Macaca fascicularis: one gene and its partners. The main gene of each other region encodes a partner of the protein of the gene in region 3 in a complex. Links are inferred from orthologs where the notes say so. Each region holds a gene or a part of one and is shown on either strand. Other genes may lie near its edges. The genes, in order: INSR, HRAS and GRB14.

Evidence for each region.
Region 1: the proteins of GRB14 (region 3) and INSR are in contact, whole or in part, in a crystal structure (PDB 2AUH), measured with the Homo sapiens proteins. The link is inferred for Macaca fascicularis from reciprocal best matches to the Homo sapiens genes GRB14 and INSR. Residues at the interface, in NP_004481.2 of Homo sapiens: Glu373, Asn374, Ser375, Leu376, Val377, Ala378, Met379, Asp380, Phe381, Ser382, Ser386, Val388, Ile389, Glu394, Val398, Ala399, Glu401, Glu402, Gly403, Leu404, Trp406, Arg407; in NP_000199.2 of Homo sapiens: Leu1065, Arg1066, Ile1069, Glu1070, Lys1112, Arg1116, Arg1163, Met1180, Arg1182, Tyr1190, Lys1192, Gly1193, Gly1194, Lys1195, Gly1196, Leu1197, Leu1198, Pro1199, Val1200, Trp1202, Ser1207, Leu1208, Lys1209, Asp1210, Gly1211, Gln1235, Asn1242, Glu1243, Leu1246.
Region 2: the proteins of GRB14 (region 3) and HRAS are in contact, whole or in part, in a crystal structure (PDB 4K81), measured with the Homo sapiens proteins. The link is inferred for Macaca fascicularis from reciprocal best matches to the Homo sapiens genes GRB14 and HRAS. Residues at the interface, in NP_004481.2 of Homo sapiens: Val109, Lys111, Asp116, Glu117, Thr118, Ser119, Arg120, Ala121, Leu122, Asp123, Lys140, His142; in NP_001123914.1 of Homo sapiens: Glu31, Asp33, Pro34, Ile36, Glu37, Asp38, Ser39, Tyr40, Arg41, Tyr64, Met67.

The regions. Positions count from the first base shown.
Region 1 is NC_088393.1:7,851,047-7,854,609, forward strand, and holds part of INSR (insulin receptor), read right to left. Parts: intron 2,495-3,563; coding exon 2,392-2,494; intron 181-2,391; coding exon 113-180; intron 1-112. UniProt on the Homo sapiens protein: Receptor tyrosine kinase which mediates the pleiotropic actions of insulin.
Region 2 is NC_088388.1:433,438-437,434, forward strand, and holds the start of HRAS (GTPase HRas), read right to left. Parts: upstream 2,863-3,997; 5' UTR 2,446-2,862; exon of another isoform or gene 2,430-2,445; intron 834-2,429; exon of another isoform or gene 689-833; intron 1-688. UniProt on the Homo sapiens protein: Involved in the activation of Ras protein signal transduction. Ras proteins bind GDP/GTP and possess intrinsic GTPase activity.
Region 3 is NC_088386.1:60,172,658-60,176,660, forward strand, and holds the start of GRB14 (growth factor receptor-bound protein 14), read right to left. Parts: upstream 2,803-4,003; 5' UTR 2,630-2,802; coding exon 2,439-2,629; intron 1,162-2,438; coding exon 1,029-1,161; intron 1-1,028. UniProt on the Homo sapiens protein: Adapter protein which modulates coupling of cell surface receptor kinases with specific signaling pathways. Binds to, and suppresses signals from, the activated insulin receptor (INSR). Potent inhibitor of insulin-stimulated MAPK3 phosphorylation.

The DNA of each region.
Region 1 (3,563 bases), on a different chromosome or scaffold from region 3:
GGCTTTTCTTGGCCTCCCTGGGGAACCCATCCTTCACTCTCACTCAATGGTGAAGGCAAAGGAAGCTGTTGAATAGGGTACTGGTCACCCACAGGGAAGGGATGGTACTCACCATCACTGGCACTGAGATACTCAGGGTTTGAAGAAGCGTAAAGCGGTCCCAGCGGCCCATCTGGCTGCCTGGAGGAGAAAAATGAGGCACATTAGCTTGAGGTTCTCATGGGACTCTGCAGGTCTCCAGAAAGGGGTTTCATACAAGACTCCTCAAGGCAAATGGCAGCCCTTACCAGCAGAATCCCCATAATTCTAGATGCAGTCTAGGGCAGGGATGGGGGACCTTTATGTTTTGAATGGAAGCCCATCAGACAAGTACTTAAGTGCATCAACATGGCAGCAGCACTGATCCCTCCCCAGGTATTTATTTATTTTTTTTTTCACATTTCAGAGTTGGAGTCTTGCTGTGTTGTGGCTGGACGGCAGTGGTTTAATCATAGCTCACTGCAGTCTCGACCTTCTGGGCTCCAGAGATCCTCTCACCTCAGCTTTTTGAATAGCTGGGAATACAGGTGCTCACCACCACACCTGGCTGCTAATTTTTAAAATTTCGTAGAGACAGGGTCTCACTATGTTGCCCAGGCTGGTCTTGAACTCTTGGTCTCAAGTGATCCTCCTGCCTCATCCTTCTGAGTGGCTGGGATTACAGATGTGCACGACCATGCAGGGCTCTGGCTGGCTTTTATTATAATTTATGGCTGTCTATGTAACACTTAAAAGCCACTCACCCAGTACTGTTCTACAGCGAGCTCATCCCGACTGATGAGAAACAATTATTAAATTTTCAGGAAACGAGTGAGCCAGTTATTAAATACAAGCATCATTAAAGATTAAATTGTACAATGCCTTCCAAATAGAACAAAAAATGTAAATTATAGAGGCTTGCAATTAAATAAATTACCCTAAAAGCAAAGACAATACATGTTCAAAACTCATCACTTTCTAACTCTCATACTCCATTTTACTATGATCAATGCAGTTGAGGTTATTTACCTTATATCATTTATACACCATATTGTATCCATAGGGTGAATTCAATGGGGAGCTATCATGTGTCTCTTTCCGACACTGTGCTCAGTAATATTATGCCTACAGCCTGAAATTAGACATGCTGGGAATATTTACATTACAGAAACTGGCAAATGCTATAACTTGGGACTGGATTTGTTGTTCTGTTGTTTGTCCAGGCTTGAGGAATTGATGAGAAAAATGTTTTTTGTTTTGTTTTTGAGACAGAGTCTCGCTCTGTTGCCCAGGGTGGAGCGCAATGGTGTGATCTCAGCTCACTGCAACCTCTGCCTCCCGGGTTCAAGCGATTCTCCTGCCTCAGCCTCCTGAGGAGCTGGGATTACAGGCGTGCACCACCACACCCTGCTAATTTTTGTATTTTTAGTAGAGACGGGGTTTCACCATGTTGGTCAGGCTAGTCTCGAACTCTGACCTCATGATCCGCCCACCTCGGCCACCCAAAGTGCTGGGATTACAGGTGTGAGCCACCGCGCCCAGCCGAGAAAAATGTTTAATCATGTAGATTAAACTTAAAAGCATGTCATGTCTGCAACTGTGACATTGCGCATGGCACAAAACATTACGAAAATGTTCTTCTGGTATTTAAAAATTATCTGACTCAGCAAAGACATCACTCATATCACTGATGAACATATATGTCTTATTTCAGTTTTATCCTACTCTTTTTTTTTTTTTTTTCTGAGATGGAGTCTCACTCTGTTGCCCAGGCTGGAGTGCAATGGCGGGATCTTGGCTAGCTGCAACGTCCACCTCCAAGGTTCAAGTAATTCTCCTGTCTCAGCCTCCTGAGTAGCTGGGATTACAGGCGCCTACCACCACGCCCGGTTAATTTCTTAGTATTTTTAGTAGAGATGAGGTTTCACCATGTTGGCCAGGCTGATCTCAAACTCCTGACCTCAGGTGATTCACCCGCCTTGGCCTCCCAAAATGCTAGGATTACAGGCGTGAGCCACTGTGCCCAGCCATGTCCTACTCTTTAATGTAAATTTTGAAAAATTAATCAACATTCACATTGGAGCTATACTTGTTTAATTAATTGCAATAATAGGTTGGCTTCAGATATAAAGGTTTGGGCAAAAAAATTTAAAAAGTCAACAAAAACTTTCTGTGAGAATCAACTGGTTAGAGGGAATTTACAATAAAGAGTTGCATATGTCGTATTATGACAATTATCTGTAAATTGCACATTACACATCCTATATCAGTAAAATTCATAATAAACTTACATATACCTATACCTATATCGAGGCATAATTTCCCCCAGAGAACCAATGGTTCCCAGCACACCACTGAACTCACTCAACTCACCTCTTTCTCAGGAATAGATAAATACTTCCAATCACAATACTGAAGAGAAAGACAAAGATGAGGGGGCCGATGATAATTTTTGCAATATTTGACGGGACATCTACTGAAATAGAATAAGAAAATATATGTTTCATATCAATGTGTTCCCAAGAAAGTTAACACCAAAAATCACATCCACTCCTGGAATGGGTGGGCCACCCTGTTTCCTCCCTCCCTTGTCCATGAACTTCTCTGCTACTCTTCCATACCCTGATTTTTCCAGCAGTCCCACAACAGTCCCGTAGGTTCAGTAGGACCAGGCAGTGGGCTCAGAGGTCAGTATTCTGTTAGCACACTGTTCCCCACCCCCACTCCCAAATCACTGCTCATTTCCACCCCTCCCACATCTCAGGCAGTGGATGCAGGACGCCATACTGTCAGTTTAAGGCTCTGCTGCTGCCCCTCTGAAATGCTTATTCATTTTATTTTAATCTTTATTTAGTTACTTATTTTTGTGACGGAGTCTTGCTCTGACACCCAGGCTAGAGTTCAGTGGCACGATCTCGGCTCACTGGAACCTCCTCCTTCCAGGTTCAAGCGATTCTCCTGCCTCAGCTTCCTGAGTAGCTGGGATTACAGGTGTGCACCACCACGCCTGGCTAATTTTGTACTTTTAGTAGAGACAGGGTTTCACCTTGTTGGCCAGGCTGGTCTCAAACTCCTGACCTCAGGCGATCCTCCCACCTCAGCCTCCGAAAGTGCTGGGATGACAGGCGTGAGCCACTGCGCCCGGCCAAATTCTTAATAATTTTAAAGCGAGGAGCTCTGCATTTTCATTTTTCACTGGGTCTTGCAAATTATATAGCTAGTCTCGACCCCAGCGTGACTTCTGACAGACGTAAAATTCTTTTGATTTTTATGTTTTAGAGACAGGGTCTTGCTCTGTCACCCAGGCTGGAGTATAGTGGCACAATCACAGTTCACCGCAACCTCAAACTCCTGGGCCCAAGTGATCCTCCTGTCTCAGCCTCCTAAGTAGCTGGGATTACAGGCATGCACCACCACAGCTGGCTAATTTTTGTATCTTTTTGTGGAGACAGAGTCTCGCTATGTTACTCAGGCCGGTCTCTAATGCCTATCCTCAAGCAATCCTCTTGCCTCAGCCTCCCACAGTGCTGGGATTACAGGTGTGA
Region 2 (3,997 bases), on a different chromosome or scaffold from region 3:
GCGCCACGGCGTGCCCGGGCAGGCCAGTGCCAGCCTGCAGGCCCCGTGGCGCTGGTGCCTCCGACAAGTATTTGCTGAGCGCCTACTGCGTGCTAGGCGCCGCTGAGGGGAGGGCAGACCCGGGCAGCGCCCCGCGCCCCCGGCGGGGAACCGGGGGCATCTTTCAGCCACAGAAAGCTGGAAAAGACAGAGGGGCTCCTGGGAAGCAGGGGCTGAGCCACAGGAAGGGGCCGAGAGGCGGCGCGGGAGACCCGGAGAGGGGAAGGGCCCTGGGGCTGAGGCCCCCGGCCTCGTCCGCGACCTGTGATGCTGAATCGGGGGTGCCCGGGCGTGCCGTGGCCGCGGCCGCCTCCGCCCAGACGCGCCTGGTTATGAGGGCGCCGGGCCCGAGGCTCCCGGGGACGCCGGCGTGAGGACCGTGCCCAGAGCGAGGCCACGGGCGGGGCCCGGATTCCCGCAGGCCCCAGGGACTAAGGGGCCTCAGCCCGCCCCCGCCAGCCGCAGCCCCCGACGCCCGCTCACCTGTGCCTGGGGGCCCCGCCCGGCCCGGCCCGGCCCCACCCACCCACTACCGCCGCCGCAGCCGCTCACGCCCGCCGGTCCCGCGCCCCCGGCCCGCGCCGCGCGTATGGCTGCCGCCTGGGGGCGGGGAGGGCGCGCGGCCCGGCCGACCCCGGCCCGCACTCACCGCTCAGTGGCGCGACTGCCCCCGGGGCCGGGGCCGAGGCCAGGGGGGGGCGGGGGCGGGGGCGCGCGGTTCTCCCCGCGCATGGGCTCCGTCCGCGGCGGGTGCGGCTGGGGCTGCAGGCGCAGGGAGCGGGCGGCGGAGACTCGGCCGGGCTCGCGCACGCCCCACCCCGCGCCCGTCCGTCAGCCCTGCGCGACCTACCATTGGCCTCGCTACACCAGGCCCCGCCCCGCCCCGGTTGGCTGAGCGGCCCGTCTGTCAGGAGCCGCGGTCGGGCAGGGCTTCCGGGAGCAACGCGGGAGGCGGAGCCAGAAGGGCCGCGGCCTCGGGGGGTTGGGCTAGGCCGGCGAGCGGAGGCAAGCTCGGGGTTGCTCAAGGAGGGCGAGGGAGCAGGTGTCTGGGGGCCTGCGGCGGCATATCCGAGCAGGGCCGTGGACTCTCCCGGGAACAGGCCGGCGAGAGAACCCGACTCAGCGGCGCCCGTGCACTCGAGGCCCTCCCTGCGTCCGCAGCGCGGCGTCGCCCACCGCGGAGGTCCCGGGGCTCCGGCTGAGGAAAGGCTGGGATCCGTCGGGACCAAGGCGGGCCGCTCGGAGCTGGGGGCCCCCGGGTGGCCGCGGGGTCCGGTTGCCCGGCTCCCCTTCCGCGCAGGTGGAGTGGCCCCGCACCCGGACGGTGCGCACCCCGCCTCCTCCGCGCACCCCACCTACCACACGCACCCCAGCTCCCCTACTCCCACCTCAGCCCACCCCGAGGACGCCTTGCAGCTCCGGTGGGGTTTCGAGCGGCGGGCGCAGCCGTGCTCCCTGGGGCCAGGCGTGAGAACGCCCCCTCCACCACTTCTCTTACTTGGGCCTGCGTGGCAGGCGACCCTGCCCGCTCAGTCCCCCCAGACTTGAGGTTCCAACCATGCAGAAGCTCAGCGTGGTGCAGTTAAACGGTACCTACAGGTTGCCACAGGAGAGCGAAGTGCCCAGGGCTCACCCCAAGCACAAAGACCACATCCTAGCTCTTTCAAACCCCAAAAGACGTGTTTTTTTTTTTTTTTTTAACATTTTTTTAAATTGCAAAGGAATCAGAAATACATTCTCATTAAAAAGCAAAAGGGCCATCCTGGCTGACACGGTGAAACCCCGTCTCTACTAAAAAATACAAAAAACTAGCCGGGCGAGGTGGCGGGCGCCTGTAGTCCCAGCTACTTGGGAGGCTGAGGCAGGAGAATGGCGTGAACCCGGGAGGCGGAGCTTGCAGTGAGCTGAGATCCGGCCACTGCACTCCAGCCTGGGTGGCAGAGCGAGACTCCGTCTAAAAAAAAAAAAAAAAAAAAAAAAAAAAAAGCAAAAGGGGCCGGCCGCGGTGGCTCACGCCTATAATCCCAGCACTTTGGGAGGCCTAGGCCGGTGGATTACTTGAGGTCAGGAGTTCAAGACCGGCCTGGCCAACATGATGAAATCCCGTCTCTACTAAAAATGCAAAAAATTAGTCGGCTGCAGTGGCGCGAGCCTGTAGGCCCAACTACTCAGGAGGCTGAGGCAGGAGAATCGCTGGAACCCGGGTGGCGAATGTTGCGGTGAGCCGAGATCGCGCCACTGCACTCCGGCCTGGGTGACAGAGCGCAACTTCGTCTCAAAAAAAAGGCGTTTAAAAGAAAAAAAGGCGTTTTACGGTCAGGCAAACCCTGCCTCTGCCCAACCCAGTGCCCGCCCCGCCGCCACGCCCTCCTGCGCCGGTCGCCGCTGACCCGGGGCTCCACCCACGTGCGGTCCCGGGGGTCCCGCCTGCCGTCCATCCACCGCGCGGTCGCAGTCAGAGCCCGGCTCGGGGCGGACGCGCATGAACGCAGGTGAGAGGCGGCGACTGAACGGCGGGCGGCGGCGTGTCCCACGGGCCGGGCACTCGGGCGCGCTTCGGCATCCGGTCTGTGTTTCCTGGTCCTCCGGGGCGCTTGCCCCGGTGCTTCCTTTTGCTGTCGGCCTCACTTCCAATCGAAGGTCAGGGCGTCAGGCCTCGACCCCAGGGGCGACCCTTCCACGTGGGAAAGGTGGGCGGGAGCCTCCAGCAGAGACCGCCCTTGCCGGCCCCGCGTGGGAAGCGCCGGGATCGCGAGGAAACGCGACACGTGCACCGCGACGGCCCGGGCACGGAGCCGCAGGGAGCTGGCACCTGACGCGCCTGCGCCCACCCGACTTGGTGGCGCGTCACCTCCCCCGGGATCGCCCACCCAAGTGCCAACTCACGTGGCCCCGCCCTAGCGACCGTTGCTAAGGGGCGTGGCTCAGCCCCTCAGAACCCGAGCCTCCTGCGGCTTATAAATATTTGCGTATTCAAATGAGGACCCGCCCACGTTGCCATGGGACCCAGGCCGCAACCCCGCAGCCGGAAGAACAGCCTGGAGTAGGAGACAGCGCCTGGCGGCGGAGGGCGCCCAGGGCCGAGCTGCCAGGGCCGGACACCTGGGCTGAGCCCTCAGGTGAGAGCCGAGCGCACCCTTGGGGTGGGAGCCACAGGCCTCGCCGTATGCCTGGTGGCAGGAGGGAGCCTGCGCCGAGGCGAGGGCGCGGGGACTAAGCAGCACAGCCAACGGGGACCCAGTGGAGGCCCCGCACGTCAGATCTGGTCCCCTGGGGACCCTTGCCTCCACCACCCCCTGGCCCTGCACTGAAGGGGCTCCCTGTCAGGAGGCAGGAGGGGCCCCAAGCCTTGCCCCTGAGGGAGATGCAGAGGCAAGGACCCAGGGTGCTTGGAGTTCCAGGGTGGGGCTCAGCAGGGGAGCGGGCTCTGCCCTCCCAGCGTCCATGGTGAAGGGGCAAGGGCTGCAGGGGACCAGAGGTGATGAGCTACCCACCAGGGAATGGCACTAGCTGGGGTGTGGAGACAGAATTCCTCCAGTTTCCAATTTGGGGAGCATGGGGGCTCGCAGAGGGGACACAGGGTAGGAGCAGGACTGCGAAGTGTGCGGATGGGTTCAGGCCTGGGCGAGAACACCAGGAGCAGTGTCTGAGGTGGGAGTCCAGTGGGGGCTTGGGACTCCACAGCCTCCAACCCCTGGTCCTTGCACCCCTAGGCCTTGGGGCTCAGACCAGCCTGATACTCGGGCTCTTGGGCACAGAGGAGACAAGGGTGGCTGACTCAGCCCTTAGTGCCACCCATAGATGTCCTGGGGCTGCGCATGACCCGGCCAGCTCACGTACTCCATGAGGCTCAAGACTGGCAGGCCTGGGATGGAGGTGGCCAGAGTCTTTGGGGGAACGCAGTGGTGGGGTCCTGCTGTGAGGCCTGGGGCCTTCCACCATCTGGAGAAAGGCAGGC
Region 3 (4,003 bases):
ATTGCTGTATATGATCAAGAATTCATCTGCTTCCTAAGGTATTTCCTTCATTCCTAAAAATATAAACACACACAGTTGAACCCATCAGAGGTAATAACGGTGCAGAAATAAAAAAGAGAACAATAGATGCAGAAAAATGGCCAACTGTCTTGTCCTCTCTGTTCATTATCCTTCTCCCATTGCAAGCATCTGGCTATTTTAATTTACTGTTTCCACCCTTGTAAGAACAAGGTGCATTTTGTTTAGTGAGGCTTCTCTTTGTTTTGCTGGGTCAAAACTAGAAGAAAGTATATGACAAGAGATGAATTATTCTATGATATACTCATTATTTTCCCCTCCAAATGTATAGCCATGATGTATTTTCTGTTAGTTGCTTGGTCCTTAAAATCTAATTTGCTTAAGTCCGTCCCAAACTAGAAACTTGAAAAAAAGAAAATCATAAAAATATGGTCCTCAGTCTTCTAAGTATCACTTACAAGTCATCTATCTTCTGCAGCCAGAGTCTCCAAACTGAGGAATCTACTGAAATGAAGACATGTTGACCCTAAACTCTAAGTACCTTTTGCCACAGCATCACTCTATCACTTTCCTTTAGTAAATGAGGTTGGCTTGGGTTGGAAATGTGAAAAATTAAACGAAGTATTAAATGAATCAGTCAATCCCCTTCTCACCCCACTACCACTGCCCACCCCGCCGCAGCCTCTGCCCAATTCCTGGCTTAAAAATGATCATCTCTCCTACCTATCTTGTGAATGATCATTGCTGCCAACCACTGCACTTTATATATATCCTCTGTTTTAATCCATTCCAAGACCCTCGGAGGCAGGTTTGAACATTCCCATTATACAGCTTAAAAAAATGAGGCCCTAAATGGAAAATAATGCCAAAGGACCATGTCAGTCAACTGAGATATTTAACAGAGCCCATGCTAATCCTTTGTTAATACTGTGGATTACAGAACAATCTTAAAGACTGTATGGATTCAGAACTCCTAAGATATTTGAATTTTAAAATTTACAAATGCATACCTGTTTTTTCCTTGAATTTGCTTTGGGAAACAGGTCTGCTGACAACACAGATGTAAATGGAGAACAGCATAGCTCAGGAAAAGGGTTTGGAATAGATGGCATTTCCGGAACATCAAGATCTTTCTTTTTTCTCCTACAGTAAGAGAACATAGGATGTAATTTACATAAAACAGAATGTAAAATATAATTGCTGTCAGGATTAAAAAGTGTGCTAAGGCGAACATGTACCACTCTGTGACAAAGCTCATATTATATAAAGTATACAGAAAAGGTCTGTGATATACTTTCTATGGGTCAAAATATAGTATGTTAATTACATACAAACAAATCTCCTATAGTTCCTCTCTCTCTCTCTCTCTCTCTCTGTCTCTCTCTCTTCCCCCACCCCCTTCTTTCTCTCTCTCTTTTGCCTTTAAATCACCAGGCATAGAAACTCCATCACGTTTGATAATTTTCCTGAAACAGAGATATAGACTATACAATTACTAATCGAAACATCATCCTGAAGAGTCAGACATTGTTATGCATCCATGATATTGTCTCTAAGTTGCATTTAGTGCATTCGTCCTTATATTTTACTAATCACTTTGGGAAGTTATGATTTATTAATTATAGCTGTGGTTCATCTCACTTCAAATTTCATTCACAATGTTGCCCACACACAGTCTGTTGATTTTCAAGTGCTTATAGATATTAAATAGCAAGGTAGTGTTTTGGGGAGGTAAGTTAATAGAACTTGCTAATATAAATGTACTATAGTCCACTGGAGAGTAATTTTAACTTCACTGAAGTTGGAGTGCTTTGAAAATCAGGGAAAAAAGGTAACATTTAAATGTATCAATATAAAGGACTATAGATTTTTGTATTGTTGTAACCTTTTTTTTTCCCGAAAGTATGTGCAACCCTAAAGGCACTTAGTGTTGAATGCTATGGAGATTGGGAAACCCTTTAAAGCCTCTATTCTTTCCTGCTGAACAGCAAGACTGCTCAAATGTCAATCTATGCTTTGCTTCTACAGGGTCGCTCTAAGACTCTATGTGGGAGGTGAATACATTTATGCTACAATTTTCTAAAATATATAAAATAAAATAGAGTTTACTTTGTGAAAATGCAGGGCCACGAAGGAACAGAAGGTGATCAACCTGCAGCCTGACCTCCTAGTTTCACACCGATGGGCAGAGGCGAGAGAGATGAGAGCTCTCAATGAAACGGTGATGCTATTTATAAGGCGCTGTGAGATCGCAATGTCCTGCTGATCCAGTAGGAGCCAGCTCAAAGGGGATTGTCTTCAGAGACTTTTACAAACTTGGCCCAGCTCTGGGCACATGGCTCACCCCCTAGGACCGCCTCCTCACCCCGTCGCCTGCTGCCTAGCCAGGACACTCCCCCGCGCCCTCCAGGGTTGCCTACCTGTCTGCAGCACAGCCGCGGGTCCCGTCCGGAGGGGGCAGGAGCGCTCCCGCGTGCAGCCAGGGGCCCGGCGCCAGGTCGTGGGCGTCGCCCCTCCCCTGGGCAGCGCCGCACACCTGGGCGGCCAGCGGCGAATCCCGGGCAGCCGCCCTGCCCGCGGCGCTCTGCCCATCTTGCAGGGAAGTGGTCATTGTCGCCGGCCGGGGGGCTCGGGCGTCATGGGACACTCGGCGCGTGGGGAGAAGGGGACCGCGCGGCCGGAGGCGAGGTGCCGGCTAGGCAGCCCGAGCGCTCTGCAGGTGTGGTGGCCTCGCAGCCTGCGCTCGGAGCCCCGGCGGCTGAGACACGCTGCCGAGCAATCTGCGAGGCGGCGGGGGAGGGGAGGGGGCGGAGGAGGAGGGTGGGGAGAGGGGAGGAGCGGCCGGTGGGTGGGGGCCGCGGGCGGCGGGGCGAGCCGCGGAGGGGGCTGGGAGGGCGCGAGAGCGTCCGGCCGGCACCGCGCGTGGCCCGGGGCGCTCGGGGCCGCTGGCATCGCTCCCGCGCCGTCCGATCCGGGACGCGAGGCCGGGACAGTCGCCTCCCCAGGTGGGCACCGGGGCGCAAGACTGAGCCCAGGGTCTGGGCGGCCCGGCGCCGCTGGAGGCGGAGACCCAGCAGAGCGGGCTCTCCCCCTGGGCTTGCCGGGAGGACCGCAGGCGGGACAGGGGTCTGCGCAGCCCTGACCCTCATACCCTTGCATTCTTCCTGCTCTGCCATCTGAGATCACCTAAGCTGTTGCTGGGCCGCCATGACAGTCCCTACCGGGCCAGGAGGGCAGGAGGCCAGGGCACCAGGGGGCTGGGTTTGCCCCAGTCCTTCCCCACGTGCCTCTTCTTCCATGCACTTCGCAGCCAAAGATTGGGGGGTTGGTGGGGAGCAAAGAGTCCAATCATTATAGAAAACTACTGAGATTCTGAGAATTCTCAGTAAAGCATGAGTAAACCCCTAGCTGTCTGGAATTAGAAAGACTATTCGTTTTATGGTAATGAGAGAAGCTTACATTAATGAATTCCAGGTTGCCTTACGCTACCTATTCCATCCCCTCAACAGCTCCATAAATTAGATGTTTATCTCATTTTACACAAAAGGAAACTGGGGCTCAAAGCCATCGAGTACCTTGCACTAGTAACATAGCACTAGTAGCTGGTGCAGTCAATATTCCAACCCAGAAACTTCTCAAAAACCCAGACTGTTTGAAATAGTAATGGCATTATCATGCTCACCCTCTGAGATGCAGCAGCCCTACTCTGAAATGCTGGGTGATCCTGTTTCTGCTCTTCCGGTGAGTGTGGCCGTCCCTATGCACTGCTGAGGATTTCCAAATGTTTCACAGGGTCTTTGTTCTTTGACCAAATTGGGTAATATCTGTCCCTGGCATCTGCTTTACCAGGTTTTCTTAATTTCAACAACCTCTGCCCAGGGAAAGGTAAACATTGCCTCCAGAAGAAAGTAGCAGCCCCCCTCCCCCATCTCAGTGCATCCTCGCCCACCGAGGCACCGACCACTAGAGAAGCCCAGGGGTCACT